2 linked regions of the Danio rerio genome follow. The protein of the gene in region 2 purifies or fractionates together with the protein of the main gene of each other region. This does not show direct contact. Links are inferred from orthologs where the notes say so. Each region holds a gene or a part of one and is shown on either strand. Other genes may lie near its edges.

Region 1 (3,658 bases), on a different chromosome or scaffold from region 2:
ATTTTGCAATAGTATCTGGACGCAGCCTTTATGATGCAAGCTGAGACTGCATCGCTCAGAGATGCAATGTGAGAAACAATGCACTAAATGGAGCTAGTGACATCACTGTAAGGGAGTAGGGTTAGGGGTTAGGCGAGCACATTAAAAAGCATTGGATGCAGCTCAGGTTGCATCTGCACCAAGTCTGCAGCCAGACCTTTCTCTGATTTTGCCAAGTACGACGAGATCCTGGATTTACATCTATGTTGATCCTGGAACATCATTTTTGATCAAAAATGTTATCCATACTTAGTCCTTACTCCTAAACCCGACCATAATTCTAAATGATTCCCAAAATCTGAGCGGAATAATAGTTGTATAACAATCAAGCAGAAGTGCAAAAACCAAACCGCAAGCTTAAACTTAAACTGTAAATGTATCCCTTAATTCTGATTGGCTGATTCGAATGTTGTTCCAGGATCAACATAGATGTTAATCCAGGAACATGTCCTACTTGGAGAAAACAGGCGGTAAACTACACTGAACAGACACCGCTCACATACTAACCAATTTTCCTCGAGTTTGAGCAGAGCGTGTTTCTCTCAGTGTGTAAACATCTCCACACACTGATATCTCCCTCCACACACCAGGCTTGGATTCCTCTGTGAACCCGCCCCGCGGGTGCATGACTAGCACCCCATTGGTAGTCAAACCGTCCATGTGACCATCTGGATTCTTCCATTTGGCTGCTTTTTCCTGCAGAGAGATTTAATTACTGTACATAAACAAAAATATGTGCACCGCACTTTGTTTTTAGGTACACATGGGCGAGTCATTCCAGTTAGCCAGACACACCTATATTTACCAGGTAAGTTTAGATCAGTTCCACAGGATCAGCAGAAGTGGATACTTCCCCAGACAGCTCATGCACACGTATATTACTCCCCAGACAGCAGTATATATTTATAAATAATAGCTTGATAAAGTATCTAGTAATGCATCTCAGACAATTCCATTTCAGGACCAGGCATAAAAACCGCACTTACTCCGAGAAATATATTCTTGGAAGAATCGAAGCCTGCAGCGAAGATTCGTGCGGTGTAGGGTGGGTTACGCTCACACACCACCCGGCAGGCGAAGCGGGAGATGGTGCTTTGAGTGATGGGTGTCTCCTCACTCTCTCCTCCCCCTGACACAGTGTCAGTCACCACAAAGTCAATCGGGCCCTCCGTCGATCGGCCGATCTAAGATACAACAGACAAGTTCAAAGATTCTCAGATACATCTTATATTGTCATACAGACAGCTTGCTGTGACTGCATGACTCAGATGGGAAACATTTTTTAATAAACACAGGGTTACCACAGATCATGGGCTATCTGGAATTTCTGAATTTTTTATTCTTTTTCAGGTAATTTGACTGCCAGGGATTTTTGTTATTAATTGAAAAAAAATACTTCATTAATTCATTTGAACTTCCAGTCTATCTTTGTTTGGGCTTTAGCACTGTATCCTTAACAAAAGTGACATGAGAACGTGATTAAAGATACATTTTTCTTAATCTGCTCAAGTGCTATTAGGTCATGAAAATACATCATTTTAGTCAGTAAAAGTCATGACATTTGGCTTAGCGTGGGTACTCTGTATACAGTAATATTAGTGGTAGAAGTAAAAACAAGTATATATTGCACAATACAGTTTAAAAGTTAATGATCAATAAAATTTGAAATAAAGTCTTTTGAAATCTAACCCGGGCTGCATTTAACACAAATGCACCAAAATAGCCGTTTTCATTGGAATTCATTTAAAATAAATTCATAAGCACTGCTGTGATGGTACATTTAAATTTGAAAAAATATACACACATACACATTAACACTTTGCCCATTTAATGAATAGCACAATAAAGCTGTCACTTTACCATCACTTTAGAACTTGCACGAGAAACATTGGCAGCAGTACATATGATCAATATGCACTGGACCAAATCAGAATTTAGATTTTAGTCAACGGGCATCTAAGTGGCACTGAAATGAGGCACCAAGGAATTGAAGGCAAGGGAAGCATCAATGATACGTTTCTTTATATGAAGCCAACTGGTTTCCTTTTTAATCAGCAACCTTAAGTATTATAACTTGTATTTTTATTGTGAACCTGCTTGCTTTATTTGCGGAGTCTTAAATTATCGCACTACGTTACCAATGTACGAGTTCGCAAATGTGCATTCAACTGTTTTTACAAAACTTAGCTGGTCTACAAGATGTCAGAACTGAATCAGGCTGTTTTTTGATTCACTGTCCAAAAAAAAACAATGACAAACCAACATAAACATTGCTGAAGATGGCAATGTTTAGTGGAATCATGGACGTCAGCAACACTACTGTAAATAATCATAAGTTTTGTGACAAAACCCTTATGATGCAATAAAAACAAGTCAATGTGTTGTTTATTAGCAGAAAAGGCAAAAAAAATTTCATATTTATGCTAAAGATTTAACCATTTGAAACCGGTTTGTAGACTGCTGTTAAAAGCACTGTAACTGTCAATTTTTTGTTAATGTTTTTGTATCTAATTTGTATTGTTCAGTAATACAATCTCACTTAAAAACTTAACACCGAACCCTATACTGGAATCAAATAATCAATTAAAAACAATCCATATCTTGGTATATCAGGAATCTGAGGAGCAAAAACAAATTCTTAAATGAGCAAACTATTGTATGTGGTTTGAGTCAAGTGACAATTACGGTCCCTACACCGTTTAGCCTCAAGAGTAAACAGGATGGAAAATAGTTCTGCATGTGCTGGTACTTGTTTGAAGAGCTTATTTTGGTTTTAAATGTGGGATGGAAATTCCCAAGAATAGAGAGGTGCTCGTTGCACTAAATCCTGTTTATAAATACATGTACTGAAATAAAAGACGCAACGCTCTCCACTTTATTTCCTTTTTATAGAGAGAGTTTCTGTTTTGTCCTTGTGGGCTACTGCTGCTGGTTCCTGTTTTTGCTTTTCTTCTCATTTGCTCATTTCCCATCTGCATGACTCTTTCCATCATGTGCAGACCTGGGGCTTGTACAATGAAGCTGAATTAGCTGGCAAGTCAGCTAAGTTTTGGTTTGCACCAATCCTGGATTTTCGGTACCAGTAAGAAAGCTCAGCTTTAATCGTTATTTGTTGCGATGGTATTCTATGCTGCATAGCTAAACTGCTCCAGGGCTGCTTTTATGTTCTGGATTGGAGATCACAAACCGACATTCAACAAATCAACTGAGAACAAAATTGACATCTGACGCAATAAAGAAACTCCAGTTTCTGTTGCTATTAATTAAAAAGGGCTGTATTTTGTAAAATACTTATCAAAAGAAAAAAAAATCTTCTGGTTTTAAATGCAGAATAATTATTTTATCCACAATCAATTACAAGCCTTTTTAGTTTAACAACCAAGTAATAATATTTATATATACATTTAATGATATGGGTTTAGACTTCATCTCCTGATTATTTAAATAAATAAATAAAGACAACATACGACTCTCTGTATGTATATCTACACAGTGCATAAGTGTAACAGAAGGCAGCTAGTGAAGTGTTGTGAGGGTAAACCTTACTACTTTGACCTCTAAAGGGACTCCAGCGACATATAGAGGCCATGGTCTTCAGCCCCCTTGTTATAGCAACCGA
Region 2 (3,658 bases):
GGCTGAGATTCATTTCTGTTTGTTCAACAGACTCGCAGAAAGGGATTTCCCCGCTTGAAATTTTGATTACTCTTTATGCACATCACCACACCTCTTCATGACCCAAAAAATGAGTCTCCAGCCCACTCTTCAAAACTTTTTCTGTGGTTAGTTTGAATCTTTTTGTCATCTTAGTGGGTCATTTGTTTCCCCTGACACTTCAGCCAACACTTTCAAGCCTTGCTTTCCTCAGCTATTGTAAAGCCTAAATGTTTAGAATAATTTATAATTAATAGTTTGACACTTTTTTTTTTTAATTACTCCCTGTTTTATTCCACAGGTACAGACATCCCAACATTATGGACTTTGTTGGCTACTGTATTTCAGGACAAACTTACTGTGTCATATATGTTTATATGCCCAACGGCTCTTTAGATGACCGGCTGCGCAATGAGGTAATTTGCATTTCCATTCATTCGTTTTCCTTCGGCTTAGTCTCTAATTCAGAGGTCGCCACAACGGATTGAACCACCAACTATTCCAGCATATGTTTTACATGGCGGATAAACCGCCAATCACAACCCACTACTGGGAATTACCCATACACTCTCGCATTCACACACACTATGGCCATTTTAGTTTATTCAGTTCACCTAGAGCACATGTCTTCGGACTGTGGGGAACACCAGAGTAGAGGTCTGCGCAGGACAGATTTTTAAGTTTTGCTCCTGCCCGCACCCGCAATGTTTTATTCCACACCTGACCGCTCCTGCTGTATATTCAGCCTTTGTTCACCTGCTGCCCACTTAGAATCATTTTCTGCCCAACCGTTCCCACTAAATTTAGATCTGGTTTCCAAAATCTCCTGTTTAAATCGGGTACTAGCAATAGAAAGAGATAACAAACAAAACTGTGGGTTGTGCAAGGACTGTAGGCTAAATGTCTGCAATGAATGCAAGCTGAAGGACATCGCATCTTCACTTTGCTCTCCCATGTTCGTTAAGCCTGCTCTGAGGTTTGTTATGCAGGTGATGCGCGCACAGACTGCGCAAATAAAAAGCACGTGCAGAAAGCACTGGTCATGCATTCAGTCTGTTTAGATCAGTGATCTGAAGCAAAGCAAAGTCTCTTTTAAGGGAAGTCTGTTCATTTGGCCTTTGCTTTACAATACCAAGTCCTATGTGTTTTCTAAAATGGCAAAATCTACTTTATGAATCTAAAGTTTTAAAAATTCTAAGCACCAGTCTTGTGTGTTCCTGTGTAAATCAGAGCTTCTAATGGCAGCTGAAGGGACTTTACCAATAATGCCCTTTTGTTTAGGCGGTGGCGTCACGTGTATCAAAGAATTTCTATTATAAGAAAATGTATTTGCTTTCACTTCAACCCTTTCCAAAGCTGCGTGAATCCTTTTTGAATTATAGTCTATGGAAAGCCCCTATGTGCTTATTTTACATATAGTGAAAGTGAACAGAGCTGTCAAGTCAATGAGCACCACAAAGCTAGTCTGTATGACTCACATTTTAAGTGTTCTGAGGTCATGCAAAAGAATGAAAGAAAATCACCTTGTTTGTTGAGCTCTTTAATCTCAATTGCAAGTCTGTACATTAAAATAATGATGCATCACAATATTGTTTCACAAACTCTTCGACAAGATGTGGCATGTCACTGGTTTTCCTGGATTGAATATATGGATATACACTTAGTACTTTTATGATTGTTACGTTTTGCATCATGCAGTTTTATGATGTGTAAATAAGCCCTCAAGAGAGTGATTCTTGTAATGACATATTGATAAAGTTTTCATTTATGTTGGTCTAGTTCTGTCCGGTCTATGGGTTAGGTGTTATTCTCTGTTTTTTTTCTTTCAGGACAGCAATGCCCTCTCTTGGTCGCAGCGTGTAAATGTGTTGCTGGGAACTGCAAAAGCTATTCAGTACCTGCATTCATGCTCACCTGCTCTTATTCATGGAGACATCAAAAGGTGAGTGCAAGAATATGTATGATACATTTCAAAAGATTGAGCTGATTTCTTTTGTTTAAAAACAGGGCTTTTATTCTGCAAGGATGTATTAAATGAATAATTTTTTTAAATAAATAATATGAAGTATGTCACAACAAAAACCATTCATTTAAAATAAATGCTGTTCTTTTGACATTTGGATTTATCAAAGAATTCTGAAAACAGAATCATGGTTTGGTGTTACTGGTTTCACATCAGAAATCAGAAAGAGCTTTATTGCCAGGTATACAACAGAATTACAGAGACTGGACAAAAAAACTGATAGTAAATATACTTAAAAATAGAAGTAAGTAGTGAATGCAAATATACAAATTGGCAAGTGTACAGGTATATTACTATATACAACATTATATGTGCAGCTGTCATCTGCAAATTGTCATGTAAAGTATGTTGTTAAATAAATATGCGTATAAAAAGTAATGATGTTTTTTTTTGGGGGGGGGGGGGGGGGGGGGGGTAAATGCATTTTTTCATGTACGTAAATTAGTTTAAATAGGTTGCAATTGTCATTTTATGTAAATCAATAGGTGGCACCACCAGGCTTTTCACAAACCAGTCGTGTTCCCTTTATTACAGCTCTAACATCCTTTTAGGGGATCATCTTGAGCCCAAGCTCGGGGATTTTGGATTGGCGCGTTTATGCCGAAATCCTAATAAAACCCCAGGCAAGACATCCACTGTGGCTCAGACTGCAACGGTACGAGGAACTCTCGCATACCTCCCGGAAGAATACCTCAAGGATGGCCAGCTTGGAGTGGAGATTGATGCCTACAGTTTTGGAGTGGTGAGATGCATCACAGATGTTCATTGCGAAGACATAGCAGTAATCAGGGGTGCACATCAATTTTGGAGCAAAAGTGTTGATCTTATTGATCGACCAGATTTTAATGTGGTGCGTCAAAAAAACAAGCCGGAGACATAAAAATGGCCCTTTTTATGCTTGTCGTTTGCTCATCGGTGTAGTACTGAATGCCTTTATTTAATAACATAATTAACTAAAGAAACCACAATCTCTCTTGGCTACATTTCTTAGCTAGAGTTTTGTTTAGGACCTTAAATTGTAATGTTTAAGGAATAAATCAGATTCATGCCTTACCACACAAGGTATCTTGATGGGTTCTGCAAAGTATTCCAATGTCCACTCCAGTGAAGAAAATTAATAAAATATCATTTTATTCATAAATCCAGTTAAAAAGAAGAAAAAAACAATCACAATAGCAAAACAAAATCCTTAACTTTATCCTCTGTTGAGAATAAAGGGCCTAAGACATTCATTATACAGTCAGTTTAAGCGCACTGCTGGTCTGTCTGCACCAGCCTTTTATACGGTATTCCAGCCTTGAATACAGGCATAGAAATCCCCTCCAGTAAAAACACCGCAAAGTAACAATTAGTGTCTGATGTACGATTATCTGTTCTGATATTCCTGAGAATATTTGTTAATACATAGAAATCCCTTTCAGTAAATACACAGCAAAGTAGCAAGTAGCGTCTGATATACTTGAGAATATCTAAAGTTTGATATACTTGAGTATATCTGTCAATACATAGGAGAAATCCCTTTGTGTTCACTCTATAGGGTGACGAATTTGAATACAAACATATCAAAGCATTTCTTCTATTACATCAGCATTTGGTCATTCATTTATGCAGTCTTCC

Evidence for each region. Proteins that work in one complex are often made in the same cells at the same time.
Region 1: the proteins of irak1 (region 2) and peli2 purify together in Homo sapiens (affinity purification with western blotting; 7 studies listed by BioGRID and IntAct, with this or other methods). This does not show direct contact. The link is inferred for Danio rerio from reciprocal best matches to the Homo sapiens genes IRAK1 and PELI2.

What each region holds. Positions count from the first base shown.
Region 1 is NC_133192.1:49,057,970-49,061,627, reverse strand, and holds part of peli2 (E3 ubiquitin-protein ligase pellino homolog 2), read right to left. Parts: intron 1,224-3,658; coding exon 1,026-1,223; intron 736-1,025; coding exon 547-735; intron 1-546. UniProt on the Homo sapiens protein: E3 ubiquitin ligase catalyzing the covalent attachment of ubiquitin moieties onto substrate proteins. Involved in the TLR and IL-1 signaling pathways via interaction with the complex containing IRAK kinases and TRAF6.
Region 2 is NC_133183.1:9,121,806-9,125,463, reverse strand, and holds part of irak1 (interleukin-1 receptor-associated kinase 1), read left to right. Parts: intron 1-30; exon of another isoform or gene 31-75; coding exon of another isoform or gene 76-146; intron 147-319; coding exon 320-434; intron 435-1,847; coding exon 1,848-1,960; intron 1,961-2,575; coding exon 2,576-2,783; intron 2,784-3,658.